Linked DNA regions of Oreochromis niloticus. The protein of the gene in region 3 purifies or fractionates together with the protein of the main gene of each other region. This does not show direct contact. Links are inferred from orthologs where the notes say so. Each region holds a gene or a part of one and is shown on either strand. Other genes may lie near its edges.

The links.
Region 1: the proteins of sf3b1 (region 3) and srrm1 purify together in Homo sapiens (co-immunoprecipitation; 3 studies listed by BioGRID and IntAct, with this or other methods). This does not show direct contact. The link is inferred for Oreochromis niloticus from reciprocal best matches to the Homo sapiens genes SF3B1 and SRRM1.
Region 2: the proteins of sf3b1 (region 3) and ncbp1 purify together in Homo sapiens (co-immunoprecipitation; 3 studies listed by BioGRID and IntAct, with this or other methods). This does not show direct contact. The link is inferred for Oreochromis niloticus from reciprocal best matches to the Homo sapiens genes SF3B1 and NCBP1.
Region 4: the proteins of sf3b1 (region 3) and ybx1 purify together in Homo sapiens (co-immunoprecipitation; 3 studies listed by BioGRID and IntAct, with this or other methods). This does not show direct contact. The link is inferred for Oreochromis niloticus from reciprocal best matches to the Homo sapiens genes SF3B1 and YBX1.

Annotation. Positions count from the first base shown.
Region 1 is NC_031983.2:27,507,885-27,515,629, reverse strand, and holds the start of srrm1 (serine/arginine repetitive matrix protein 1), read left to right. Parts: upstream 1-4,743; 5' UTR 4,744-4,874; coding exon 4,875-4,895; intron 4,896-5,808; coding exon 5,809-5,898; intron 5,899-7,745. Other genes in the region: tdh2 (L-threonine dehydrogenase 2), read left to right, coding at 277-319, 404-474, 559-708, 801-973, 1,052-1,142, 1,225-1,494, 1,581-1,726. UniProt on the Homo sapiens protein: Part of pre- and post-splicing multiprotein mRNP complexes. As a component of the minor spliceosome, involved in the splicing of U12-type introns in pre-mRNAs. Involved in numerous pre-mRNA processing events.
Region 2 is NC_031966.2:10,221,326-10,229,198, forward strand, and holds the start of ncbp1 (nuclear cap-binding protein subunit 1), read right to left. Parts: upstream 3,001-7,873; 5' UTR 2,851-3,000; coding exon 2,817-2,850; intron 943-2,816; coding exon 854-942; intron 648-853; coding exon 547-647; intron 451-546; coding exon 294-450; intron 196-293; coding exon 88-195; intron 1-87. Other genes in the region: tstd2 (thiosulfate sulfurtransferase/rhodanese-like domain-containing protein 2), read left to right, coding at 3,181-3,312, 4,387-4,682, 4,819-4,927, 5,054-5,173, 6,671-6,776, 7,009-7,124, 7,511-7,669, 7,866-7,873. UniProt on the Homo sapiens protein: Component of the cap-binding complex (CBC), which binds cotranscriptionally to the 5'-cap of pre-mRNAs and is involved in various processes such as pre-mRNA splicing, translation regulation, nonsense-mediated mRNA decay, RNA-mediated gene silencing (RNAi) by microRNAs (miRNAs) and mRNA export.
Region 3 is NC_031987.2:32,303,575-32,310,715, reverse strand, and holds the start of sf3b1 (splicing factor 3B subunit 1), read left to right. Parts: upstream 1-4,141; 5' UTR 4,142-4,201; coding exon 4,202-4,229; intron 4,230-5,636; coding exon 5,637-5,809; intron 5,810-6,020; coding exon 6,021-6,122; intron 6,123-6,246; coding exon 6,247-6,361; intron 6,362-6,686; exon of another isoform or gene 6,687-7,141. Other genes in the region: coq10b (coenzyme Q-binding protein COQ10 homolog B, mitochondrial), read right to left, coding at 1,848-1,945. UniProt on the Homo sapiens protein: Component of the 17S U2 SnRNP complex of the spliceosome, a large ribonucleoprotein complex that removes introns from transcribed pre-mRNAs.
Region 4 is NC_031984.2:24,180,253-24,187,876, forward strand, and holds the start of ybx1 (Y-box-binding protein 1), read right to left. Parts: upstream 3,008-7,624; 5' UTR 2,840-3,007; coding exon 2,731-2,839; intron 925-2,730; coding exon 861-924; intron 594-860; coding exon 560-593; intron 460-559; coding exon 370-459; intron 269-369; coding exon 1-268. Other genes in the region: ppih (peptidyl-prolyl cis-trans isomerase H), read right to left, coding at 6,592-6,660, 6,928-6,968, 7,056-7,143, 7,240-7,332, 7,607-7,624. UniProt on the Homo sapiens protein: DNA- and RNA-binding protein involved in various processes, such as translational repression, RNA stabilization, mRNA splicing, DNA repair and transcription regulation.

The DNA.
Region 1 (7,745 bases), on a different chromosome or scaffold from region 3:
TTGCTCCAACAGTGGGAGCCCATTTTGATTCATCACAATAGAGTGTGTACAGACAGTGCTAGTGAAATAAAAGGGCCAATGAGTGACTGTGGGGAGAATAATAGCCTGCTGTCACTTTTTGTCCTAGGATCAAGCTTTGAAACAAACACAAAGCTTTATTCATCTGAAAGTGAAAACCAACAACATGGATTTGACTTTTATCGATTTACCAGTCTTCCACAAATACAGATTATCTGTGTGCACAGGTAGAAAGTTAACGCCTGCCTTTGTCTGCAGGTGGGCTTGGGCAGTTAGGTGTGGGACTTGCACAGATGCTGAGGTGAGATTGTAGAAATTCCTGAGATTTTGAAACTTGCTAAAAGGTTTGAAGTTTAAATGTCGTCATATTTTTGTTAATGTCTAGAAAACAGTATGGAAGGGACAATGTAATCCTGTCAGACATCAAGAAGCCTCCACCTCATGTTTACGCCAGTGGTATGTAAAATCTCATTCAAGTATGCGTATTACTTTAAAAGTTAATTACTTTATTTTTTTTCTGGCATCACTGTTGTTTTATAGGCCCGTTTGTATACGCTGATGTTTTGGACTACAAACACCTCCGAGAACTTATTGTAAATAACCGCATCACTTGGCTGGTCCACTACAGCGCTCTGCTTAGTGCTGTGGGTGAGGCTAATGTGGCTTTGGCACGAAAGATCAACATCACAGGTCTGCTTGAATATGCACATGCTTTACACGTAACCAGGTTTTAAGGAACAATCAGGGTTGAACTCGTGCTCTCTTCTTTTCTGCCCATCCAGGCCTACATAATGTGCTGGACTTGGCCTTAGAGAACTGTTTGCGCCTCTTTGTCCCCAGCACTATTGGGGCATTTGGTCCCTCTTCTCCACGTGACCCGGCCCCTGACCTCTGTGTTCAAAGACCTCGAACCATCTACGGCGTGTCTAAAGTGCATGGTGAACTGATGGGGGAGGTAAAATGTTTTTTGCACGCGTGCTTACAGAGACGCTTGTGACTCCATTTCATTTTCAATCAGCTTCTCTTTCTTTAGTATCTCCATCATAAATATGGCTTGGACTTCCGCTGCCTGCGTTACCCTGGAGTGATATCAGTTAACACGCCTCCTGGTGGTGGAACTACAGGTATTACCTGTGTGTGTTGTGCAAATGTACTCCAATCCGTTGGATGTCATGGACTAAGTGCTCCGGACTTCTGTCTTCACAGACTACGCAGTTCAGATCTTCCATGATGCTCTCAGCACGGGTCACCATGAGTGCTACCTGCGACCCGACACCCGTCTTCCCATGATGCATATCTCTGACTGCCACCGTGCCACGGTAGAGTTCATGCAGGCTCCAGAGTGCCAGCTGTCACTGCGCACCTACAACATAGCTGCCATGAGCTTCACCCCTGAAGAGGTGGCCCAAGAAATCCGCAAGCATCTCCCTCACCTCAAGGTCACCTACAATCCCGACACTGTCCGCCAGACCATTGGTATGGTATCTTTTTGTTTTTAAATCACTGGTTTGACTGATAATAAACCAATATAAAACTAAATTGTCCTTGTTTGTTTTTTGCAGCAGACAGCTGGCCTGTGAGATTTGATGACACCAATGCCAGGAGAGACTGGGGCTGGGCGCCAGCCTTCGGGCTTGAGGAGCTGGTGTCGGACATGCTCCGCTCCATCCGAGACAAGAGGACCAACGAGGGTTTGCCAGTCAGCTAGCAAAACCTGCTGCATCAAGACTAACCAATGCCCTACCTACCACTAACTTTTCCTCAGTCTACATTTACCAACAGCACACTTTGTTTTACTTCACTTTTACAAATTGTCAACCAGTATCATCTGTTTGTCTGGAGCATCGCTGCACCGTGCCAGGGACTGATTGTAAAATGGAAATTCTCAGTCATAACCTCTTTATATTCAGTGGAAAGTGAGATGTCAAACACATGTGCACCCACACACACACACACACAGACACACACACTTCAGTCTTTTCAGGGAATCAGATACTGTCAAACCTTCTCTTCATCTTTGTGGTTTTTATTGTTCTCATGGTATAAGCATCACTTTACACATGGGCATGTTGCCTCAGGTGGAACAGAAATATTTCTTAAGCTTTAAAGAGTTTCAGATGTTGATCACATGCATGGGCACACCAGCGTGTTTCAGCGTCTGTTACAATATCTAATACAATATGGACAAGTTCCACGTGTAGAACAACAAATCTGTTGGACATTTTGAATCCAGGATCATCTGGAATGACTGGCTCAGTTGACTTTGGACTGTAATGAAAAATCATGTATCCTGGCTGTTTTGTAAAGCACTCTTTTATAATATAGACTATCAAGTGAAACTCACAGTATATACAACCGCACTACCCTTGCCGTGGCACAGAACAGGAAGCCTTTACTTTTTTGCCAGCGGTGTGATTACAAATATGAATGAGTAACAGTATCAAATGAGGCCGTATTTACTTAGGAAAACAATATATTAAAAAATGCTGTGTACTTTGAATCAGACCTTTAACAATAAAAATATTATTTACCCAAAGAGCACTGAATATCGTATGCTGCCAAAGTTTCTTTTTTTCTGTGTCGTTTTTACATCCGAAACACCCGATCAGCATCAAAACAAGAACACTATAAAATGAAAAATTTAACTTTTATTTAAGAAATAGTTAAAGTTTTCTCATCTATGCTTTCATTCTCTAATTTATTCGAGTAACATATACAAAATTAAGGTATTCACCAGCCACTTTGTTAGGTACACCTGTTCAAAATATCTAACTAGCCAATCACACCAATTAAGGCATGTAGAAAGAGTCCAGATAACCTGCTGAAGTTCAAACCAAGCATCTGACTGGGGAAGAAACATGATTTAAGACACCTTAAATTATTATTTTCAGACTGGCTAGTCTGAGTATTTAAGTTCCTGATCTTTTGAGATTTTCCAACACAGCCATTTGTAAGATTTGCAGAGGTTTAAAAAAGAGAAAATACCAAGTGAGTGGCCGCTCTGGTGAAAATCTAGCGAACAGGAAGGCAAAATAAAAAAAAACATGTTATAACCAAGGTCTGCAGACAAGCATCTCTGACTACACAACACATCAACGCTTGTAGCAGATGGGCTATAACAGCAGAAGACGACACTGAGTCCTACTGGGTGAGCTAAAAACAGGAAACTGAGGCTACAAGTCACACAAGCTCAGCAAATTTGGACAAAATAAGACCGGAAAAACATTGCATGGTTGATAAGGCTCTGTTTCTGCAGCAGCATCTGGATGATAGAGTCAGAACTGTAGTAACAACACGTAAGCATGGATCCATCCTGTCTGGAATAAGATAAGATAAGATAAGATAACCTTTATTAGTCCCACACGTGGGGAATTTGTTAACAATTCCAGCTTCTGGTGGAGGTATAATGGTGTCGGGGGGATTTACCAAAATTTCTGCAGAATGTTTCCAGCAATCTGTTGAATTTATTCTGTAAAGAACTAAAGGAAATGGTTATAGAACAGGGCTCCAAATATAATGTCCAACTGATTTGTCTGTGAAGATTCTCAGTCATCCAGGTCATCGTAGTCAAAGGAGTTTGCAAAGAAAAGCGTCTGGACTTCCGTCCAACTGATTCATTTCTTGACAAATATGGTCCAAATTTGATTTTCAGTGCCCCCATCTCTTGTTATGAATGTGGAATTTGTTTTCTGGCTGGAATTGGGACGGGGGCTCCCTCCCCCCGGAGCTTCATGGGAAGCTCTTTAATTTTATTATTAAGGTTTCCCAAAGAAATCTCTTCAGAAGCAAAATTTTGCATCATTATTATACATCACAATTTTTTTTTTGTTTTTCTCATTTGTTTATCTGAGCATTTATTCTTACTGGTGAATGGCGGTTGGTGAGGTTCAGGTTCAACAAGCTCCTAACTGGACAATGGATAAAAACAAAATACTTTTTAAAATCAACAACATTTGAGCAAACCAGTTTAAACCAAGGTTTGGGTCTTATTCATATCTGTGCAAGCTGTCTCTGCATATTGAGGCACATTCCAGTCACTGACTGCTTTGCCAAAATCACTTAATGCAAAATGGACTGTGATTTTTGCAGATGACATTGTGATCTGTGGTGAGAACAGAGAAGAGGTATGAGTAAAACTGAGTACACGAGAGGAACAACACAGGTTAGCAAGGAAGGTGAGATGAAATAAATGAATGAAAATGAATGAATGAATGGTTTGGACATGTGCAGAGGAGGGATAGAAGCTATATTGGACAAAGGATGTTGAAGATGGAACTGTCAGGCAGGAGGAGAAGATGAAGACCACAGAGAAGAAGGATGTTGCAACAGAGGAGGATGCTTGGGATAGGGTGAGGTGAGGGCAAACGGAGGCTGGGGTGACCCCTAGGAGCGGCAAGAAGAAAGTACATAGATGGGTTTGTTTGTTTGTTTTTTAATTTAAACAGAGACATTCCTAAGTGACCTCAAAATCTTTTATTTCAGTGTACATTGAAATAAATAATTCCATGAAGATGAATATCTCCCCATGTTTACCTTTACCAGCGTTTGTTGGAGCTGCAGTTATGTGGTCAAAGCAGAGCAATGAGCTAAATAATGGAAGTTCGTGTGGCGCACTGAAGGCCTGAAGCACATTTAAAGCCAGCAGCAGAATCTCAAGAATAACAAAAGCTAAGCTAGCGACTGCCATATTTCGTGCATCAGGTGATGAGCGGAATCTTCTTCCTCCTCACTGTAGCTGCAGTACCCGTTGCTTCCTGTGGGGGCACTCCATTTATCCGGCTCGTCACCCTGAATTTCACCGGCGGAGCAGCACACGGCTTTCTCCACAGCAGCAGTTACGAACCATTTCACCTAAAATGGACGCGGGATTCTTCCGCGTAAGTTCTTCAAACTTTTATCTTTGTATTTGGTATATTATTATTTAGCTTTATGTAGATCTATATACGTTTTATGGGATGGATGTTTCCTATGTGTCTTTAGTGAAGAGCCATGCAGCTAGCTAAACAGCGGTCAGGGCTTCGTCTATCAACTGGGAGCCAACAGTCTCAAGATTTGCAATCAGTCTGCTTCGCCTAGTGTATTCTGGGAGTTATTGCGTGTTCCCTACATTGATGTTTTCTGTCCTATAGTTTATGAAAATGTGTAGCTTCCTAAGTTAAAACCCCGTACGTGTTATTTTACAGACACATTTACAGGAAATAGACGAGTCAAGTTAGCTAGCTAACTAAAGATGGCGCCCGGGCGGTGCATCGCTCCTGTCTCCATGAGCTAGTCACGACTGCTGCTGTGCTGGCCTTAGCAAGTCCTCCGTGTTTGCTGAATAATGACATTAATGTGTCTTTTAATATTCTGTCAATGTCAGCTCCGCTGTCAGTCAAAGTAGCCTTCGGGCTGTGCCTATTATTAGCCTGTGCGTTCGCTTTCGAGGATTAAGCAAGTGGTTAGCATGGCTAATGCTAGCCGACTGGTGTCAGTGTCGTTTGCGGCTCAGGTCGAGGAGCTAAAAAGAACATGAAGCGGCGCTCTAGGGAACACACGTGTCTTAAGTCTTTATTTTAAGACGCGTTAGCGTAAGCAACGTAATGTTTTTCCATCCTAAACTTTGACTGTCGTTAATAATGTTATCGGTAAGTAAAACTGCTGTAACTAACATGGGCCCAATAGTGAGGAGGCTGTGCAGCCTGAGACTATAAACACTGTTCGAGACGGGTTTCTGTCCTCCTCTGATTTTACATGTCCAGTGAAAGCTGATCATCACGAGTCCGCTGATGTTGGCTGTTATTTCTGCAGGGTACGAGTGCGGAGCAGGACAACCGCTTCAGCAACAAGCAGAAGAAACTGCTGAAGCAGCTGAAATTTGCAGAATGTTTGGACAAAAAGGTAAATGATTACCCGCAGTGACATTTGTTTTGACATTTTTTTTCCAAATAACTGTTAGTGATTAGTAAAATCAGAATATTTTAATCTTCAAAAATCATGTTAAATAGTTATCTACAAACTTGTATCAACATGAGCCTGGACATTCATACACCACAGGTATGAGGGTGTCTGTGAGAGACATTTTAGTGGTCACCACCTCACCAGGCCTGTGATTAATGAGCTTAAGTCAGGTTTTGTTTTTTGTTTTTATCCAGTAGCCAAAAATTAAAGGTAAATGTTCATTTTTCTGTTAATTAGGCATTACTATAACTTTGGTTTAATTATATATAACCTGTTTATATTTTTAGTCTCCACCCAAATGTCATTTTTGAACCTTTGCAGGGGACTGCCTGGTCATTAACAGGTGGGACAACAATTATTATAGTTGAGTAACATTTAAGGAAAGCCACAAAAGTTTTTGATTTAAAAAGTCCTTCTTTTTTGTCACTGTAACGTCTTAAAAGGACACAAAGAAGTGACAGTGGGGTTGAGGGTAGGACGCCATCTAGAGCGCACCATAGTTGAATAGAAGTGATTATTGGAACAGGTTATCACTTATAATGAAAACTTGACACATGATGTTTTCAAAGCAGATCTTAAAACAGCCAAATGTGTTATCAGTTGATAAATTAATGTTAAGCGTTGTTTGTATTTGTCTTCTGTCTATTTTTATTTGTATATCACGTCAGGTTCATGTGACCTGCCCAGGGGCTTGAAATGAAAATGAGCTTTTTTGATAAATTCTGGCATGTATAAGTTTTGTATTTTTTTGAATCGATGACCACTAAGTGTTCCTATGGTGCACTGGTTTACACATTTGTCTTAACAAGCAAAAGATCCCGGGTTTGTTCTCCGGAGGAAATACAAATCCCTCTGGGGTTGCATCATGCCAAATCAGACATGAAGAGCTACCTGTTGTGGCGACCCTTGTGTAGCTTAGATTGACGTCCCTTAACATACAGCGTCACAGTCAGATAAAAACAATTTTAAGGTGCAACGAGATAAAAATTAAACTGGATCCCAAAAGGGAAACTTCTTTGATACAGCAGCTAAAAGTTAAGTCAAATACAACAAACATAAAACGGGACAGCTTTATAGAGTAGAATGAGACATCTCATAAAGTAAATGTAATATTGCAAAACTAATATCTTATGTTAAATTAAAATAAATACAGTAAAATATAAATTTATACAGAAATATAAAGCAGAGCTTTTTACTACATTTTTCACCCCAAAGCCATCCCTGGTGAGAGAATTTTAGATCTTTTATTTGACAAAGAAGGTTTTAAAATTGACCTTTTGTCATTTTTAAATACAATTACTCAGCTGTTTATTTTTACCATGTAAGTCAGATCTTATAAGGATGGTAAAGCTTTTTTTTAAATGTATTTAAATCCTTGCCATAGATGAATCACTGTGTTTTGTATTGTGGGATTTGTGTGTAATCTATTTAGTCGTCAGACATCAGAGTGAAATGGACAGGTTTTTGTCAAATAACACAGTCGCTTTGTGCTCTGATTGCATTTTGTGCCCATTCTGAGCCAGGAAAAGCCATGTTGCATAATAATATATTTATAGCAAAGCAAAATAAAATGGTTAAAAACGACTTACTAAATGTGGCGACAAAACAGAATCGCAAATATCAGATGGAATTAAAGCAGCTGTGTATAAAACAGTGTGATCGGGCAGCGCAGGGTTGAAATAAACTGTTAAGATGAGAGAAGAAAACAAATGGTATGAAAGAGATCCTGTATCTGTTCAGGTGCTTATAAACTGAAACTTACTGTACACTGCAAATGGTGCTGCTTC
Region 2 (7,873 bases), on a different chromosome or scaffold from region 3:
GTCTGACACAAATGTGAACATTACAAATTATTTAAATTGCTTTTGGGTACCATACAGCTTGCTTTACACCATAAACCGTCTGCCTACCTGTGGCACATCTTCCTCCTGAGTAACACTGACAAAGTTTTCAAACATGGCCACCATAGAGGGAGCAGCAATCACGTGGCAGTTGACCAAATCAGACAGAAAACGCACCTAAAGAAAGAGATGTCATTATGAAAAATAAATGCCAAAGTGGCCATGTTAATTAGTTTAAAAGCAATCTGTAAGATTATTATACAAAGCCAGCATACCAAGTAAACAGCTTCACTGTACAAGTTGTTTTTTAACGTCTCCTTCAACTGCCTGATCATGGCCTCAACGAACTCGCCCCCAAAGTTGTAGTTCCTGGCGTTAAGGAGGCCGACTAAGGTCGTATACACGGTCAGCTTCTCGGGCAGGAGGCGGGCACTGTCAACAAATGACAACATATGACGACTGCAGACACACAAAACACACTTGCAAAATTTATTAGAAATCAAAGGGTGAGAAGAGGTGTGAACGTACACAGTACATAAAATGCGCAGAATTTTGCTTTTGTAGTTTGGGAGGTCTGCCTCTAAGACGCCGGCCAGGCCCTCCAGGTTGCTCTCGAGGGACGATGTGCTCTGTAAGGAAATATTTTCGCACAAGAGCAATTTGTCACTAGAAGGCAATTTAACACAAAGCAAAGAAGACATATAAAGAACATTCTGGCATTTACTTTTAGAAGCAAAGTTTTGCACTGAACTTGTGAGGCTCAACTCTCTAGAGCGGAAAATGAAGCTACTCATCCTGAAAATAAAAATGTGTCCTTCCTGTAGTGTCTCCTTACCTTTTCCCCAACACGACATATCAGTGATTCCAGACGGTCTTCGATCTCAATCGGCTCCGATGTTCTCCTCCTCTTATGGGCTTGACCTCCTGGAAAGGTGAAAGAGTAACACAATAATCAGAGCCAGAAGAGGCTCAACCAGCTCCTGTAGGAAATATCTGTCAGTTTCTCTTAGCTAGTGCACTCTTAAAAAGAGATTTTTAATCTCAATGAGTCTTCTCAAAGTTAGGATGATAAATTCTCTGCTGTGTTCATCAGTTACACTGCCATTTCATGTTCAGTGGTTTTCAGACAGCACAGGACTATGAATTAAACAATGAACTGATAAAAATAAAGCTTTGTGAAGTTCAGAAAAGCACACTTACACTGTCATTTAAAGAATAAGAGCATTAACAAAACATCAATCCAGCAATTGAATTGAACATTTAAAGCGGACCAAATTATTTTTACATTATTTTTTTCTTTATTTTCTGTTATTTATATAAAGGTTTATTAACACTGTTAATATATTAAAAGTAAGGATGTAGTCTCGAGTGGTTGTTCGTTATGTCTTATCAAACCAAACAGCACTGTATCAACAGCGTTCTCTTTCTGGGATTAATAAGTTATTTTCCTGGTGTCGCATGCAGACTGCCACATCTAACAGCAGTTCTATACTTGCACTATAAATGCACGGCATAGGTACTTCATACTAGCAAACTCCTTTGAAATCTGATGACTTAACCTGACATGCTTCTTCCTGGAAAAGAAACTACACATCACACTACACAAGTCATTAAAGGGCTTCAGCCCTAAATATATATCTGAGTTGTTTTATAGATACAAACCCAATAATTCTCTAAGGTCTGCAAGATCTGGTCACCTAATAGTGCTTGAATCTGAAACAAAACTGAGTAATAAAGCACTTAGCTGCTATGCTTTTAACCAGGGGTGTCAAACATGAGGGCCAGGGGCCAGAATCGGCCCAAGAAAGGCCCCCATGGGCAGCTTTCAAAAGTGTCAAGGAGGGTATTAATTCTGGCTTCTTGATTGTATTTTCATAACTTTTATAGGTTTTTATACAGATAAAGAACTCCATGGCCACTGATCCTATGCCAAATTAATTAAGCAACAGGTGAACAATTAAATGACAGATATGTTTCCGTTCACTGTAGAAATGTATAATTTTTAAAAGACAGACAAAAAAGACAGGTTTTATAATTCAAACTGTATGTGCCACTGTATGCAGCTGTATGTGAGCCATGACACAAAATTTTGACATCTCTGCTTTTTACTACCATCATTGCTATTATTGTTGTTGCTATGAATATTACTACTATTACTGCATTTTTCCCTTCTTTTCTTTTCTGTTTTAATCTTAATCTTGTAAAGCATCTCGAATGACTGTAGTGTTTGAAAAGTGCTATATCAACAAACTTGCTTTGCCCATGTACATATGCAAAGTTACCGTAGTCCCAGATTAAGAGACGAGATCTGATTTAATCTTTAAGCAGACCAGGTCCCATTTAAATTCAGGATCTTGCGCTCTACGGGAAAACATTTGATATTTTTAGGTGATTTTCCCCGCCCATAAATCCAGATCCATAGTTAAACTTTCAATCAGATGTTAACACTAAATGTCGTGCATGTTTTGCAGTGTTTGGTTACCGCCCCCATAGTCACTGGCTACCCTGGTTAACGCCAGCTAATCCTGCAGCTAACTGCACCGGTTCATTTTGCGGCTGCATGCGACAGTTTGAGCACTTTTCTCGCTTTCAGTGCGCCACAATGTGACTGAATACCTGCGGTCATCAATGGTTTTGCACTTTTTGGATGTCGTTGATAAAACCCAAACATCAAACTAGTAAAATAACCCTCCCAACACTGCGCAGGGGACGCATGAAAAGCTCGCTAACGCCAGCTAGCCACCGCTGGTTAGCCTAACGGTGTGAATAATACACGCCGTTAACGTGCACCGACTCACCGTCGTTCTCATCGCTGTGCCGCCTCCTGGACATGTTTCACCCCGCTTCGATGTGAATGTAACAAAGCCAAAATATGTGTTGAACGAGAAACAAAACAATGAGTCCGTTAAACGAGTTTATCTATGGATCATTCAGCAACCAGCCGCTCAGAGAAAAATAAAAGCGGTCTGATTCAAGTGAAGCACATCCGGCTAACCCGGAAAGTGCACCCGTCTTTGGTGTCCGGAGTCTTGTGCTGAATTTTCTGGTGCACGTTTGGAGGATTTGTTTGTTTGTTTCCTTAAAATAATATGTGAGACTTTGTGTTTAATTCTGGTGAGACGGGTTAGTCGCTAATTATTTTAAAAGCTCTGTAAAAACACAATGGCGGCGGAAGATACACCCTGCTCAGAGTTTATAAACTGGGAGGTTGACTCTTCAGTTTGTAATGGATTCAAACACGAGAAGCAACTTTCTGCCCCACAAAGGAGATACTACAGCTTCTGCAGGAGAAAGGTGAGCATCAGGACACACTGACTGGAATCCCTGTTTTATGGTTCAATTGTTGGACATATATAACGATTATTGTGAAATTTCCAGATATTTCGCACATTGAAATCTGAGGCAATGTTTGAACATTAATATCTCAAAATCTAAGAAAGATAAAAGCCTCAAATTGTCACTGGCCTCTCTTAGCATCAAAATGAATCTGATCTGTAATCTGTATTTTATAGTTAAAATCTGAAAATACATACAAATTTGAGCACACTCATAACACTCACTGCAACTTCAAATTGCAAAAGACAATTGGTGACAGTTTACAAATTTATGAACAACAATATTAGAAAACGTTATGATCAGTTTTACATTCTGTAATTTTGTATTTGTAATCAGTGGTTTCTCAGCTGTGTGCTGGGAGTGTAGCAGAAAAAAAGTAGTTCTTCTTCTTAAAAAATATTGTTGTTGTTGTTGTTGTATAACTTAATAACTTAGGCTAAGGAAGGCTGATGCTAATATAAAATGTTAGGGACAGATTTAAAAATTCAGATGTCAATATGTCAACTCTTATTCTTAAATTTTTATTACAAACAGTTGTGCAGTGGTCACAGTCTTTACAGAAGGTTCTGGGGTTTAAACCTGCTGGTCTTTTTGTGTAGAGTTTGCATTCCCCCCCTGCATAGGTTTCCTTCTGGTACTTTGATATCCTCCCATGTCCTGTTTTACAGTCTGTAGTGGACTGACAGGTGGGGTGTGCCCCACCTACCTTCCAGTGTCAGCTGGGATAGGCTTCATCTCTCCCAACAAACCTAAGTTGGATAATATAATAATAACACAATAGTAATATATTGTTAAGAAGGAAGGGTCATTATTTACCAACTTTCGAGTCGTTTATTTTAGAAACTGATACAGTTTCTAAACTACTCTGGACAAATTTCAATATTATCACATATTGGGCAACATATGCACCAAACTGTGGAATACGATCACACAGCCACTGTCTTATATATAAGTCTTCTATAAAATCTTAAACATCTGTTTGACCATGTTAAAGATTTATCTCTTTATTTGTTTTTTATGTTATCCCCTCAGTCATTTGCTGCCTTTGTGGCATCCAAGAAGGACGGTAGTCACGAGGAAGGAAGCCCTTTGTGGTGCTGCTGCGGCCAGACGTTCATCGAGCACGCCGCCATTCACAAACACGTGGCCAGAGTGCACAATGCTGAAATACAGCAGCTCACACAGGACGAGTATGAGCGTTTGTTGAGCCAACTGGAAGAAGAGCCCGAAGCAGCGCAGGTGCAGTTGAATGAGCACAGTGGAGAAACGGTGGACGTCTCTGTGTGGATTCCCGATATCAGCCACATCTCTGAGGAGCAACTTAAAAAGTAAAGACAATCTGAATTCAGTTATTTCACTATATTCTATATTTCTAATCTATATATGTAGATTATTAATGTGTCCCATTTTAATTTTTGAATTTGATGTTTTATTTTTGTTCGTTGTTCTCTCGTTCTCTATCAGCGGTCCAGGCAGGGTTCTGCTTTACTATCACTACTGTCGCGTCGAGGAGCCACATGTCATCTGTGCTTGGCAGAAAGCTCTGTGTGAGAAACTCCACTTAACAGGCAAGGTGAATGAATTCTCCTATCTTGCCTCGGGCTGAGGAACACTTCTATGAAAGAGCAAAGAAAAAAGGCTTTTCTCTTAATTTCAGTGAAACTGTGCCATTAAAATGTATGTTGATCTTTTTCTTCAGGTGAGGGTGGCGACTGAAGGCATCAACGGAACAGTTGGTGGCACCAACTTGGCCACTGACATTTACATGGAAGCAATGCGTTCACATCCACTGTTTGAGATGGATAAGGAGGATTTTAAGGTCAGATTCAGATAAAGGGAAATTTTATATACCAGTGTCACCTCCCCCTCTTAATATTGCTTCATAGAATAGAATAGAATAGAATTCAACTTTATTGTCATTGCACATGTCACAGGTACAGGGCAACGAAATGCAGTTTGCATCCATCCAGAAGTGCTTTAGCCGTGATATAGATATATTACAATATATATTAGCAATAATAGAGATGTGTAAGTATATTACAGAAATGGGTCTATTATGGTATGTTATAATGTACACGGTATGAAGTATGTTATGAATATTCTATAACTATAAGTATGTACAGGCTGTAGTGAGTACAAGCTATGTACAGGCTATGAACAGGATATAAATATGAAAAACTATACAGAATATGAAATAAAAACTATACAGAAATATGAGATATACAGTTATACAGAAATGTGAACTATGCAAGTTATGAACAGTTGTAGGATTAAAAATTATCGTATGTACAGAATGATTATTTACACAGAACTATACAGGAGTGCAGTTAAGATAAGTGAGATATGTGGATAATTTCTACAGAGGCTATATAAAGTGCTAGTGGTTGTGAGTGGTGGTTCAGTCCATGTTATTATTGTGTGTTTGAGGGTACAGTTGTCCATTGTGTGTGTGTGTGTAGGTGGTTGTGGGTGTGTGTATGTTCAGTCCATGAGTTTAACGTGGGTCAGATGTCAGGAGGCAGAGTTCAGGAGTCTGACAGCTGTGGGGAAGAAGCTGTTCCGGTACCTGGTGGTCTTAGTCCGGAGGCTCCTGTAGCGCCTCCCAGAGGGCAGGAGGGTGAAGAGTCCATGTGATGGGTGACTGGGGTCTCTGATGATTTTCCCAGCCCTTTTCAGACACCGCTTCCTGTAGATGTCCTTTATGGCAGGAAGTGGTGCTCCGGCGATGCGCTGGGCAGTTTTCACGACCCTCTGCAACGCCTTCCGGTCCGATGCAGAGCAGTTCCCGTACCAGACTGTTATACAGTTGGTCAGGATGCTCTCGATGGTGCAGCGATAGAAGTTCACCAGGATGTCTGAGGACAGGTGGTTCTTCCTCAGAGTCCTCAAGAAGAAGAGGCGCTGGTGAGCCTTCTTGACCAGCTTGGAGCAGTTGGTCGTCCAGATGAGATCCTCGGAGATGTGGACTCCCAGGAACTTGAAGCTGCTCACACGCTCCACAGCCGTCCCCTTAATGTGGATGGGTGGATGTGGGTCATAGGATCATAGTTATAGGCTCCATCAGGGTGTGGTTTGTCCATAATCAGACTTTAAATGGCCTGTATTTGTATAGCGCTTTCCTAGTTCTTAAGGACCCCAAAGCGCTTTACACATCCAGTCATCCACCCATTCACGCACACATTCGCACACTGGTGATGGCAAACTACGTTGTAGCCACAGCCACCCTGGGGCGCACTGACAGAGGCTTTAAGCAGTTATTAATTTATTTTTGTTAATCTTTGAACATTAATGGTGCTGTTTTTGTGGGTTTGTTCAGACCAGTGACGGTGGCGCAGAGTGTTTTACAGAGTTGAAGGTTGGGGTCTACAAGGAGATTGTACCAATGGGAGTGGACCCTGATGTTATATCTTACCAGCTGGCAGGTACTATTTGTACTATTTGTAATGATACTATAAGCCTATAGAAATTATTAATAATGTAAGTTACACCTGTAGCTGATTTACTAACATCATTGCCTTTATTATCATAATAAGGTGCGAAATGTCTGCTTTGATTGCTACTCTGCAGCCATAGCTGTGCTCTTGTACCAGCTGCTGAGAAACTCTATGCTGTGCTTGTATATAATGTCAGGTATGTGTCTGTTTTGCCTCTCAGGAGTTCATCTGGAGCCCGAAGAGTTTCATAAAGAAGTGGAAGCTCTTCTGACTAAAGGAGATTCATGCAATGACACCATCCTCCTGGACTGCCGCAACTATTATGAGAGTAAAATTGTGAGTAGAAAATTCATTTTCTTTAGGAGATTGTTGACTTCATTCAAAAGTAATCTGATTAGCTTGGTGGTTTCAGGGTAATGTATGATCTTGGCTTTATCACATGACATGCCCAGAGATTTATGGTGTAATTTCAAGTTTTTTGTGCACCATCTACACAAGCTACCATGAGCAAATATGAAGGATGGGCAGAACACTGATATTTGTAGCTGGAAATAATGAGTCTGTATCCAAACAGAAAAGCATGACTGGGATCAATTTCATAAGCCTCAGTATTTTAGCCAGAAGCAGTGGTATTGAGATTGTGCTATTATAGAGTAATGTGCAAAGGCTGTTACAGTTAATAATTGCTAATAATTGCTTTTTTTTTTTTTTTTTGCCTTCAGGGGCAGTTCACTCAGTGCCTGGCGCCTAATATCCGTAAGTTCAGCTACTTCCCAGACTACGTGGACCAGAACCTTGAGCTGTTCAGAGACAAGAAGGTTCTGATGTACTGCACAGGAGGGATCCGCTGTGAGCGTGGCTCCGCCTACCTCCGCTTCAAAGTAAGCTGTTCAGTCATCAGTCTGGAAAGCTTTTAGTGGAGCTGGGTTCACTCGCTCACTTGTTGCAGGTTGCTGATTCTCCACAAGGGGGAGCCTTTTACTAGTAGTTTAGGTATTGAGAAATGCATATTTTTGAAAGGTTTGCATCTAATATGTTAAGTTCTTGTTCATATTTATCTCTTAAATCTGGTACCAGGATGTGTG
Region 3 (7,141 bases):
AGTCTCGACAGGCTGTGAAATAAGAAGCATAAAGGCCTGTTTGTGGCACAGGTGTGCAACAAGACTGACTCACAACTGTCAGAAAAATATGCCAGCAATTATAAGCATTCAATGAGCTTAGAGGAATACAATTCCCACAGGTATGGCGTTTTGTAACCTGTTCCCAAATGAATCAGGTTTTCCATTTGTAACTCATCCCACACTCCATCAAGTTCCAATGTACCCACTGCCCCTAAACAGGAACCTATTCACTCCTGTTTTACTATCTGAAACATGATACATCTGACCTCTAAATGTATCCTGGGTACAGGCTGAGAATGGCCCAGAGCAAAAGGTGAATGAGACATCTCAAACTCCACAAAGGTGCAAAGCAGAATTAAACCCAAACAACAGACAGCTGGACAATGAGTTCATGGAAGTATACAAATACACTGAGAAACTAATTAAAGTAGCACACTTTGGATTTGTTTAACACGTCTTTAGGAAAATGTAGATAAAAGCATTATCTTGTTCAATTTTAAGGGAGCAGATAATGTGCTGTTGTTTAGGCTAAGGTAACAAGTAATGTTACCTTGTGATGAGTAAATATATAGGCCATACAGTAGCAGATGCTCATACTAAAAATGACCGAATTTTCAAATAATGAGGTCGGTGTATGTATAAGTACACTGTGTGACCGAAAACCTAAGGCTTCAAACTGCTCTAAACTTAGAATTTCAGATAGCCTCACTATGGTCATCTCAGGCACACAGCTCTGGCTGTGAGCACAGAAACCCCACCCACCCACTGTTCAATCAGAGGAAAGATGGCTTAAAGGAGGGGGGTGGGAGATAAAATGGCTGAGATATAGAGAATGGACTGGGGACTGGACTAAGACCAATATAAGAGATAACTAGCTGAAATAGAAAAAAGAACCTAGACTAATCATCTGAAACACTGTCTGCTTAGTGACAATAAGGAGTATTAAACATATCTGCATGGTTTATAATATACTCTAACGCAGTCAGCTTTTGAGGTTAAAGAGAGGCTGTTGTATAAACAGATAATGACTGACAAACAGTAAATTAATATTATATATGCATCACATGTGACACAATAATTGTTGAAAAGCTGCTACAGGTTCTGGTGATGGTTTCATTTACCACATGGAACTTAACGATTTTAGGAATATTTTCAGACTGTGCCTGCATGTCGTTTTTACTACACTGTTTTGCAAATCACAGATAATCGATGCTAATCGTTACGATCTTCTTCATCGTGGGGTTTAAGTATGTAAAGTTCAAGGTTTCCATGTCTTCACCTTGGCTGTGCTATCAGCAGTGTTGGAACGTAAAAGAAAAAAAACACTACGCAAACATAGTAATAATTAAAGAGCCTGGTTTATAATCAATACACAAATTATCGTGCATTTTTGTAGTTTACGCTAAGACTGCTGCTCTCCACAGGAGAATGCATATAGAGTAAAAGAAACTGAAATCAGCTTTACTTTTCTATGCGTGAAAGTGCGACAATTTAATGTTTCAGTGAATATAAATTATTGTGTAATGTGCTATGCGGCTTATCACAGCAACATCGTGACTGTAGTACATTTGCTATAAGTATTTCTACACAGGTAAACCAAATACTACTTTTACCCGACCCTCATTTTACTACTTTCTACCATCTACAGAGATGTAGTTAACGAATTCTTGAGTTAAACAGGGCCGTGAATCGTACACCGCCGCAGTGTTTAGCTACCCCGTACCAAAAGTGAGTAACTTTGGTACAAATGCTCGTTTTAGAGGTATGTCTTCATATTTTACGCCGTCTCGTTTCAGACAACAACTTGAAAAAGTCAAACACTTTACCTAACGTTGCTTCTGTTCTGGATATCCCGGTTGGCTGTGGACGGTAACTGTTTTATGCACTCAGCTACTTTTCTCAAGTTCCGACCGCATCTCGCCATCTTCTCTTCTTCTTTAACGGCTTTGTTCACTCCCTCGCTATCAACCAGTTGACAGGGAGCTCTACGCGCAGTTTGGCCCGACCCTCAACAGGCCTAACCCGCTTGCCATTGGACGATCTGTGGCCACCGAATGTTTTTATTGGGCGGTCCCGCCGTTCGTCACGCCAACGTATTCAGGTTCGTGTGCACGAGCTCGCACGCGCATAGAGTCACGAGTTGTTGGCTCGAGTTGCTCTATCGGCCGAGAAAACCGGGTGAAACCTGTTTGTCTTTGCATATCAAAACTATCAATAGGTCAACGTGTTGACCTGTAGACTACACTACACCTTCTTTGTTGTCATTTATTCCTGCTCTGTTGGGCAAATTTGTTAGAATACAGTTTCTACTATTTTTGAATAACAAAGTGAAAGAAATATTTAAAATTCTTTGCAGTAAGGAAGACATTGAAAGTGAAAGTGAACAGGTTTCTGTCTGTGTGCTTTTTTTTTTTTTTTACCTTTTTAAAAAGGAAAGGGGAGCTGTTTGCATATACATCAACTCAGGGGTAAATTATGAAAGTTTCTTTGCTTATCGTGATACATTATATTTGTTTTACTAACGTGTAAGGTACATTTATTATATATATGAATAAATATTGAATGAAATGATATATGCCTATAGGCACTGGTGTTCTTGTCCAAAATACATGTTATAACATACACTTTAGTAAAGCTCATGAAAGTTAAAAAAAAAAAAAGAAGTTTTTTGGGGGTTTAGGTTGAACACAGAAACACTGTCAATTGTATAAACATTTCTGCCCAGTCAGGGTTGTTTGTGGACACTTTGGCGGCATTATTATTATTCAAACTTTGACTTCTGTGTCAAGTACCTCACAGCTGGTGGTACAAGTTTTTCCTGCAACGACATGCATCTTCTGGCATCTTCCTGCTGAGTCACCAGGTAAAACTCAACTGTTTTAAATCTAATCAGTCACTTTCCCCACAGCTATATTCCTCATCCTTCTGTTATAAACACTCGTCACTCACATATCTAGTGTCATGTAGCTTTCTTTTCTAATAACCAAAATGCAAGGCTGGGTCCTGAAATTTCATTTTCTGTGAAAAGAAAAAAGCTTCACAATTAGCTCCACAAGTATTGTCTGTAGTAGATGGACTGCTCTATATAGCTTTTCTACTCTGCTGGAGCACTCAAACTCAAAGCGCTTTATACAGCATGTGTCATTCATACAAGCACTTTTTTCTGTGCTTTCCAACATTCACACAGAGTCATACTTCCATGCATCTGAGAGCAACTCTGTGTTCAGTATCTTGCCTAAGGATATTTGCCATGTAGCCAGGGATCTAACTACTAGCCTTTGTGGATGATCTGTTATACCTCGTGAGCTACAGCCACCCCTGCAGTGTTTCAGATATAGGTCCTCTAGCCAATAGGAGCACAAGAAAATCTAAGAAATAACAGCTGGGCATTTATGAGAAAGGGACATAAACTATAATAACAGGTGTTTTGTACAGACATTTGGGGAAGAAACTTTACCAACCATAGATCTCTTTCAAAGAAGCCAGTTTCACATGAAATAAAAGGTAAACACAGATATTAGTAATGCGAGAGGTTAAAAGCCTTGACTTGAAGTTAAGGTTGTGAACCAGGTGTTAGAAAAGCCTTATGTTTAGCTACTGCTGCATGCCAGAATAGCCCCTGTGAAAAACAAGTCTTCAAAACAACAAAACCTGTCTTATTATCCTTTTCACTTCTGTTTGTGGCATGCATAGTGAAATTACAGGCTTTTTGGTATACGTTTTTACAAAGCAGCCCAGTTACAGGCTTTAATGTACTCCAGGAGACAAAGAAGGAGCTGTGCAAGGAGATATTACTGATTTCTGTCAGGCGACATTCTCCATTTCAATTGATAAAAGTCTGTCATTAAAGATCAGAGTGCTGCTTCTAGCAGAAACATCTGGGAAATCTGAATAAAATAAGATGAGAAAGGTCAATTGGAGGGCTGCGTCAATTGAGATTTTTTAATGGGGTTTTAGGCTAGTGGACATTATACATCATACATGGACGGAAAGTCACATACTAATTGCTTCACTGTATCTACAACTTTTATAAGTATGTCAATACACTACGTCTAATACTAATCCTACTACTAGCAATATAACTACTGAGCGATTGAAAACTGGTCTGAGAACAGCTGGAAAGACACGGAACTCTGAATTAAGTCACATCCGGTTTCAGTCTCGAACAACCGCCACCAAAATGGCGAAGATCGCCAAAACGCACGAAGGTAAATTACTGCTAAAACTACCATAAATATGTTCTGTTTTACCACGTATTTTGCTTTATGGTGTCAGTAAATATTGCGGTAAATTTTCTGGTATTTCTGTTGACGGTAATGCTCCTGTTTATTTGCGAAATAGGCGATAAGCACCAGGCCTCATACGACGCAACGCGGAGCTTTAGATAATGGCGCTGGTGGTTACCGCTTAGCTTTCTTGTTAGCTGGAATGGACTATTTTTCTCAGCTTATTGCACACTTGCATGCAATAGTGGGCGCCATTTGGGCTTTTTGTCTTGGTCCGATACGCCTTTAAGCTAGTATAACTTGTTGTTGTTACTGTGTAATCCAAGGTGATGGTAATTCTTTAATGTCTCAGTGATTCTCGTGGCTAACCGAGTTAGCATTAGCAACCTCTAACAAGCGTTTACCATGCCTACAGCAATTGGTGTCCGGCAGCAGACTCTGATATTAGCTTCATAATCGATGTTTAGCAGGAATATTGAAGGAAATGACCGAGGGCGTTTTCTGTAGCAAGTATTGGAAATCGTTAACCCTTTTCTGTAAAATATTCTAATGCACTGTTTGGACATGACTTTGAGAGTTACGTGACCCAGTTTTTGTTTGTGAAAGCAGTAATTATGATGTAAGTAACGTTTATTTTTAAAGCGCTTTTCACAGGCGTGCATTCATAAAGCCCTGTACTGCAAAATAGAATAAAAATAAATACATAAGTTTAACGCAACCTCACAGTAAAGTAAATAAACTTTACAAACCTAATTGTAGTGCAGGACTGTTCCAGTGTCTTGGTACCACAGATCATGTTTACATCAAAAACTACAGTCACATACGGTGATATTAACAGGCAGAGTGTAAGGAAGTATTTGAGCTTGATTTAAGGCGTGAAAGCGCAAATAAAGGCCCGTTTGCTAGTCTTTGCCAATCAGTCCAATTCTCTGTGTGGGGTTAAAGCATTTTTTAACGTGTAAATCTCTTTGAGAGCATCGTTTGCAAGTACAATACCCCATCTGTTTTTTCTCCTTGCTAAGAAACGCTGAAGATCCTCCTGATTAAATGTACAAAAAATTCCATGATGAAGAGCTAAAGGCTTTTTTCTTCTTCTTTTTTCCTTTTATGAAGCATTCCTTTGTTTCCCTGTGCCAAGGGATGAACTAAATAGGGGGGGAAAAGGAAAAATATATGGGCATGTTATCAAATTTTACAGTACGCTCTATCACACTGGTTTTACACCCTTATCCAGCACAAACTGAAGTCATGCCTCAGATAAATTTCAGTAAATATAATATTTATAGATTAATCAATTCCATTCACCACTGCTGATACCGGGGTGTATGTCAGTCATCCATGCTTACCTATACAGGTGGTTTTTCACCATGTTTCCTTGTGTCCCTACAGATATCGAGGCCCAGATCCTAGAGATCCAGGGGATGAAGGCCTCCCTGCTGGAGGATGGAGAGCAGGGAGTGGGCCTGATCTCCACTGGCGTTTTTGACCCAGAGATCTATGAAGGCAGCGACAGTCGCTTTGCAGGATACGTCACTTCCATTGCTGCCAATGAGCAAGAGGAGGCAAGTATTTATTTATTTTTATTTTTTTTCCTTTTCCAAATCAAACACAGCTTCTTCCGAGAATGCTGTTTTGTGAGCCACAGGTTGTCCTTTGTCAGTTTTGTAAGGAGCTTGACTGCTCCCCTCTGCTTGTTTTGGGGATTTGAGCTAGGAGAACCTTGCCAGTTTGGCAAGATTTGAATAGACTCATTTATTCTCTTTCTTACCTCAGGATGATGAAGATGATACGTCAACAAGCTTGTTGGGACAAAAGAAGCCAGGGTACCACGCGCCGGTGGCAATACTTAATGCCATTCCTCAGTCAGATGAACAGGTATGTTCATTCACTGTTTGGGCTAAATTCCAGTTAAAACAGGGATCTAATTTTAATGAAAAAACAGGCTTGTACAAAATCCTATTTTACTAATCATCGCATGTTTTGTGCTTAATCTTTGCAGTACGACCCATTTGCAGAGCATCGTCCACAGAAGATTGCAGAGCGGGAGGATGAATACAAGGCTCGGCGCAGACAGATGATCATCTCTCCTGAGCGTCTCGACCCCTTTGCAGATGGTAAATTTTGCTCTTTTGTGACCTTTTTACATCTTCCCAAGTTCCTTGCCTCCTCCCCTTCTTTCTTTTTGTTTTCTTTGTTTTCTGTTTTTACACCAATAGTTTTTACTGTTCAACCCTTCGACCACAATGCAATAGCTTGCCTCCCAGACTCAATGCCTTCCCTGTGGTCAATCCTTTCCTCCATGTACATTTTGTGTCGCTGTTTTTCTCCCACTATTAATTTCCAACTGTTTCCAACAAATGTCAGTGTGGGCTCACAATTCATTTCCATAATTGCAGTTTGGGACAGTGTTGTTGGGATTTTAATTTGGTGCATGCATTAAAGGTAATATAGGGTTACCATGCTTTTCAGGGGGAGAGGTGGTTAGGTGTTTATTGCCTAACAAACATGGGTCGCAGATGGGTTGTGTGTGAGTCGAAGGGTTAACAACCCAATGTGATTTATGATGGGAAAGTGCAGTGTCCGCTTGTCACAGAAGTTGAGGATGAAGGTTAGCTCATTTAGCTGCCCATGTCCTGTGCTTTACCACACTGGGCACAGCTTTATAGGTGAATATAAAATATATAAGAGGAATATCATTAATATGCTCTGGTGGTAGTTGAACCAGAAGCATAATTTTAGTTCATAAATCTCTCAAGTTTCTCTGTTATCTGGATGCAGTAACATGACTTGTCAAAGTGCAAATTGTCTTGGGCTTCAGCGTAAAGCGCTGCCTTACAAGTAGGGCTGTCCCGAATATCATATTTTTGAGCTACAGCAGTTCAGAGTTGATCAAA
Region 4 (7,624 bases), on a different chromosome or scaffold from region 3:
GGTAGCGCCGTCTGCCAGGGTAAGTGGGTCTGCGCTGCTGTTGCTGCGAGTCTCCTTCAGGGGCGTTCTCTCCACCCTCTCTGCTTTTGTCACGTCCTCCGCTGCCTTGTTCGCCCTCTCCATCACTCTGGTAGTTCTCTGGATATTCTCCTCCACGGGGAGGGCCCCTCCTTCGGGGGTACCGCCTATAGCGGTTCCTGTCAGCAGCATACTTGCTTCCCTGGACTGCAACACCTCCTGGGCCGGTGACATTTGCAGCCTCTGCTCCCTGTGTCCACAGTAATATTTATTTATTTATAACTAGAGAACATTCATTCTTTAGAAGCTGCCAGACTACAAAACCGAATTACTAACCAAAGAACAGCTTACCTTCTCTCCCTCGACTACATCAAACTCCACAGTTTCTCCATCTCCAACACTGCGAAGATATTTTCTCGGGTTGTTCTTTTTGATGGCTGTCTGAAATCACAATGTTTCATGTTTGAAATGTTTCTAATCACCATAATCATCAGATTTTTTGTTAAATTATGAAAAAGAAATACAATATTGCAAAGCTTACCTGGTGTACAAAAACGTCCTCTTTTGTATCATTCCTATGAATATTAAAAAAAAGTAGAACACCATTAGAAGTATCCTACTGAGCCACAAAAAGCAGTGATACCTCTGCAGACTACAACAAAGCGAATGAGTGTAAGGATTAATAGATGCATGCAACCAGTTTGGAGACAAGTAGATAATTCATCTGGGCAGCTTTGTAAGCAAATCATAGCCATAATAGGATTGGGAATGTTCTTTCTCACACACACACACACACAGCTGTTATGAGGGTCTTTGGAAAGAAGGGATAGGCGAAGTCTTACCTGTTGATAAACCCATATCCATTCCTGACGTTGAACCATTTGACTGTACCCAAGACTTTTGTTGCTTTAAAAAAAATAAAAAATGAACATGTATTAATGATCATTTTAGATACATGTCTGTATTTAATAATTCTTCTAATAATGACAAAGTGTAAAATAAGAACAGACCATGAGAAAGTGACACGTTTGATGTGGAAGTTAAATATAACTCCCAACTGTCATTCCTATTATAGATCCCGGCGCTTAGGAGTGTCTTGTGCCAGCTGCATTTGGTGTGAGGTATGAACCGTCACGAACACCATGCACGAGTACCACGAATGAGTACCGACTAGATTACTTCTCGTGTGAATTTCAAGACTTCATTACCCCTATTTATAACGTCCCTTTCTACTGTGATGCCATCCAAATCAAAGATTTCAACATCATCATAGCAGGCCGCTGTAGCTAAACACATTGACTTAACTACAGCAGACCTAGTGCCCCATTTTAGACGCACTACTGAGCGTTCACACGTGGTAATCGCGCCCGGATATGTTAGCAAGCTCAGCTGGCTTGTTAGCATAGCTATGTAGCTGAGAAGGTCTGAACCATGTGCTTGGATTACTGCCAGCAAGCGGAAATGAACATAACACATCGGACAGCTTCTATTGTGACCAAATGCTTAGCACGTAAAAAAAAAAAAAAATTAGAAAAAATGCCACGGTTATACTGGTTTCAATTAACAACCAACGAAATGGCGAAAGAAATCAGTGGAATACACGGCGGACATTTTGGATGGCCTCTTTAGCCATGTAAATAGCTCAAGTTAGCTGGCTAAGCTAACATAGCTTCGCAAACAAGCCAGCAACCGTCGGTCGATTGCTAGGCCCTAACGAGACCTCATCAATTCCACCGAAAATAGTCGACCGCTGACAGTTGTGCTCTGGTGAATTTCCGATCAAATCCAAATATAATTCGCTGCTAATTGTAACAGTTAAAAGTCTGAACATAGTTTCGAGTGTTATAGATTTTTTTTTTTTAATATTTCACCAGGGAGCAAGACTCGTGCGAACAAAGGACGGCAAGTCGCTAACGCTAGCTTGATTTCGACATAATTTGTAACCGGTAAAGCCAGTGGATATTTCGGTGTTCCACAAATACGGCATTAAAGTTAACTTTATTACTTTAATACATGATTTCCCATTAACTGTCTGCCTAAAATCAGCACCGACGTTGGCGTATATACACAGGATCCGATAACGGCCAGAAACCACTTCAGCGACCATTTACGTGACGGCCACCCGGTACCACGGCATTCTATGGCGTACGTTTGACGCGAGGAGGCCGATGAACAGGAAAGATTGAAAGTCTAAAATACCTCATTAATACCTTTTTAATACTCATGTCGTCTAAAATTATTTAATATGAAGGCCAAAGTGTTAGCTATTAAAGCAGCGATGTATAAAAACTATATATATAAAAAAAAAAGCTTGCACTGTCTGGCTTCCAACCGATAGTTTAATTCTGTATCGCTAGCACGTAAACGTTTAGCGTTTTTCAGACATCAAAAGAAGATTAGTTTAACTTTTCCTAGAAAGCTTCTCGTTAGAAAACGCCAACACACTGAATAGAACATAGCCCATGAAATAATTCAATTTTAGCCAAAACTATACTGGGTCCCGTTGGCTAAAATAAAAATTTCCCTACCATTACTTAACATGTGCTAACGTTGTGCGGCTCAACGGCCGTTTCTAACGAATGTATTTTAGTTTAAGGTAGACTGAGCTGTGGATCGAGTTAACAACATTAGCAGCACCACTTTTGCGCATTGCCTCTGTGCCGTAAAACACGTTAGCTATCTAGTTAGCTTAACTAGCTCCAGCAGTCTTACCGATGACCTTCTTATCCCCCGCGGAAGCTGCGGCTGCCGGGCTGGATGGGCTCTCCGCATCGGCAGCAGGCTGCGGCGGTTGTTGCTGTGTCTCGGCCTCGCTGCTCATTGTTACTTGTTGGTAATGGCTTCAGCCGGCGGCGGCTCTTTGCTATATTTCCCGGTGCTAGATGGTAACCTGGGCCGGCGGTGGTGGGGGCTACTGCCTTCGGGCTCTCTGCTTTCCTCTTTCCGCTCCCGTTGCCGATCTAACTGGGCAGAATGAGATGAGGTGCCGTGGAATGTTCCTACTCGGAGGTCCGCCCAACTGCCATTCTAATTGGTTGGAAAGTGTAACAGGAAACACTCGCGTTCCAATTAGCCAGAGTAACTGTCAATTTCGCTTCAGAAACGCGTTGGGTAAAATGATTGGGTAAAGGAAACCGTACCTGTCCATTCTCACCACCCCTTTATGATGTCAGAGCCAGACGAATCAGACTGCATAACCGTGACAGTTTTGGAACAGTGTCTACTTACTAAAATCTTGTTCTGCTGACGGATTTGGACCTAATATGCATATAGTTTAAAATATAATTGTAGTTATCATTATGCAATATATAAAATTGCAAATAGTGTGATTATCGTGTAATCGCATGCTTCAAATTCGGAGCAAAGTCAGCAGTTTAAGAGATCTAGAAACACAAAAACACGGGCCCATTAAGAAAGACAATGCCTGAATGTTTAAAGTATTTTCAGTTTCATTTTGTACGCTGGTTAAATGAAAAATCGATATACTGTGTGTGTGTGTGTGTGTGTGTGTGTGTGTGTGTGTGCGCACCAATGATGGGAATAACGGCGTTATAAGTAACAGCGTTACTTTTTTCATTAACAAGTAATCTAACTAATTACTATTTCTATCTTTACAACGCCGTACCCGTTACTAACATGAAAATGCGGTGCGGTCGCGTTACTATTTTTCAACAAACAGACGGCTGAAGCTGTGTTCATCTTACCGCACCTTATATCAGTTGCATGGAAGTAGCTGTCTACATAAGTAGTCTGGGCGCTACAGCTTTAAGTAGCTGCGGGCGCTCCCGCGGACGGCAATCACTTTCTGGCAGACGATCACTTTTTGGCACAACACCTGGAGCTAAGGGGGGCCAAACAATCCCATGAGTGCTGCAGTTTGACTGAGAAAGAATATAGTAGTCGTAGTAAGACTTGGAAAGCTCTGCACAAGAATTCCAATGTACATGGACTGTTGGTCCTGTGTGCAAATGGCAAAATAAAAAATCTTGAATCCTGAATCACATGACCACTTCAAGATGACAAAGCAAAGAGGTGATATATACCAGTTTTTAAATTGTGCTGATAGGCCACGTAACACAAGAGTCATGACAAACAACATATACGTGGTGTTTTTTCCTGAATACTATGGTCACGTTTACCCTCTAAGGGCAGCGCTAGCAAGCACTATCTGCTTATGACCAAAAAAGAAAAAACAAAACAAAAAACACCCCTTTCGTGTTGTGGAAAAATGTACAATGTCGACCAATCAAAAAATGATATAGAAACATGGCATTTGGTTGTTTAGGAAGAGGGAGGAAGTTTTAGGAGTGACGGAGAGAAAGAGAGCGGAAAAATGAGAGAGCAAGTTTTAAGAAGTGAGAGATTTGTGACGTTTGGAGTGTGTAATTAGTGTGTTTTCTTGTGTAGTTAGTGTGTAGTGTAGTGGATAGTTTTGTGTTGTGTGTCAGAACAATGAGGCGACTGCTGAATGTTACAGGTGCTGCCAAAAAGCCACCAAATGGAGATTACAGTGTAAGCCACAGGTGTCAAACTCCAGGCCTGGAGGGCCGGTGTCCTGCAGGTTTTAGATGTGTCCTTGATCCAACACAGCTGATTTAAATGGCTAAATTACCTCCTCAAGTGTCTTCCAGTTCTCCAGAGGCCTGGTAATAGACTAATCATTTGATTCAGGTGTGCTGACCATGGGTGTTATCTAAAACCTGCAGGACACCGGCCCTCAAGGCCTGGTGTTCAAAACCCCTATTACATACACACACATATGCAATATTAGTTTTAAGACTCAAATAAGGGGGAGAACAACATGAATCTTAATGATAATTATTACACCTAAGCATATTTAAAAAGAAGAATAATCATTTAACATTTCTGGAAATCTTAATGACCTTAGTTACACCATAACTATCTTTGACTGTCGAAAATTACATCACAGTTTAAATAAGGTGTTTCTGTACATTATATATTAACCACTAACCAAATTTTAGCAGAAATATTAAAAAAGCAGCAGCACGGTGGCACGGTGGTTAGCACTGTTGCCGCACAGCAAGAAGGTCCTGAGTTCAATTCCACCATCAGGCCGGGGTCTTTCTGTGTGGAGTTTGCATGTTCTCCCCGTGTTTGCGTGGGTTCTCTCCGGGTACTCCGGCTTCCTCCCACCATCCAAAGACATGCAGCTTGTGGGGATAGGTTAATTGGATAATCCAAATTGTCACTAGGTGTGAATGTGCGAGTGAATGTGAGTGCGAATGGTTGTCTGTCCCTGTGTGTTAGCCCTGCGACAGACTGGCGACCTGTCCAGGGTGTACCCCGCCTCTCGCCCTATGACAGCTGGGATAGGCTCCAGCGCCCCCCGCGACCCTGAAAAGGATAAGCGGAAGCGAATGGTTGGATGGATGGATATTGAAAAAGCAAGTATAAAGTAATTTTCTGTTTTAACTGGTTAAATCCAGTCATAATTCTGTGTGACTTTAGAAACTCCATTTCCAGTAGTACAGAGCAGACAGGGCCAGTCTGAGTGTGGGACAACTCCACCACAACGCCCCCTCCCCTCCCCTCCATTGTCATGTTAATGCTCCACTGGCACTGTTTACGAGCACTGACCGATGTGTGAAGAGCTTGCTGTTAATGTCTGAGCACCGTTCTCCCACACACAAAGATGGGCTTTAGCAATGACCCCAGAAAGCTTCCCCACAGAGATCCCCCCCTTCAAAAAATGGGGGAAAAAAGCCTCCTTCCTGTCTCCATAAGAACAGCGTCTCCATCTGAAAAGCTTCTTTTATGCCAAGGGAACGATGTCCAAGGCTGAGGAGGGAGAGCATGGATGGGGGAGGGGGTCTGTGGAGGCTTAGATTTGTATAGATGGCTGAGATAGAAGAGGTAGCCATAAGTTCAGCACTGGAGTGAGCGCCATGGAAGATGTGTTTCACTGTAAAGTGGTTCTCTCATTTCCTTCATAACTTCGAGGTTAAGATCAATTTTTAATCAAAGGCACTATAAGGAAACAGAGCTAGTAACACTTACCAAAGCAGCTCATATTACTCTGGGTACACAATGTTCTTTCCAAGTTTAGACACTGCCACAGTTTCTCAAACACACATTAAGTTGATAAGAAGTTAATCATTAGGTAAATCTGATTATTAATGATGTGAATTATTGATTAGAATGACTATTTATAGTTGGCTTTCACTACTTTCTAGATTATATCCGATCATCAGTATTGCAACAGAGCTGCCTTTTGACACTTAATGAAATCCTTTTGAAAATTTTTATATTAAAAAAAATCTGCAACATTTATAAAAATGTACAGCAATTTATTGATTGGAAATAATACAAAGTGTGACAACCATGTAATTCTTTCTTCAATTTAAAAAAAATGTACACAAACAGTCTTAATTTGGACTTAATTTGAATTTAAAACAAATGAAGTCTGAAACCAAATAAATACATCAATGTCCACTATGGGACATTGCAGGAATCAGTGTGTTGATGTTTTCTGAAGAGTAACAAGTCACAATTAAGACATTAAATGTATACAGAGGCTGTGTAATGTTGACATGGTGTTTAGCACGTGTCGGCTCACATCTCTCCACACTGTGCAATGATGATGGGGAGTTTAGGCTTGTTGTTGGGCCCTGTTGAGACATTCTGTTGGAAGAAAGCGACACACATTTAGAACAAAAATGCTGTAATCTAAGCACTACATCCAACTATGGTGATTTATATGGACTACAAGTTAGAGGTTTAATTATTTGTTACATAAACATTAAAAGATTATCAAATTGTATGTGTCATTATTAGGCTGGATAATTGATTTTAAAAAGTTCTTGAAACTTTAAACATACCAGAGGTAAAGTGATGAGTGTTTACAAAAAAATATGGCAAGATAGATTTATAGGGAAGGTAAGTTCTTACCTCAATTTTTCTCATGACCAGCAAGCCATCGACCAGTTTTCCTGTAATAATTACAAGTAAGTCAATTTAACTCTGACACAGACAATAGAGTTAAAAAAAAAAAAATGCAATACTGTTGATTTACTCACCAAACACCACATGTTTTCCATCTAGCCAGTCACATTTAGTGCAGGTAATGAAAAACTGACAACCATTTGTTCCTGGACCACTGTTTGCCTGTAATATGATACATTATTAAAACAGACACATTTTGGTTAGGGTGATTTACCTGAAGTGTATCCGTGGAGATTTAGGATTTATCAAAACACTTACCATTGAAAGAAGACCGGCAGCAGAATGCTTTATTCTGAAGTTTTCATCTGCAAATGGACCCCTATAGATGCTGCAGATACCTGTTCCATCACCCTGCACAAAAGATTAGTAGTACGCACAGTAAGTAGGGGCTCATAAAGAAAGCAGTATATTATAAAACTTTAAATGTGTTGTAATATGCTGCATAACCACCAGAGGGGGCAAGACTATAAATGTGCTCAGTTAAAGTCAATAGTTACCAAGGCAAGATTTAATCAACAAATTCTCAAATTCATAAAGTGTTTGTGGAAATTTTCCAGACAATGTCAAAAGACAATCACTAAACTATGGATTATTGTGCTGTCAATCCAATCTTCCATGTACTTACATTTACAAAGTCTCCTCC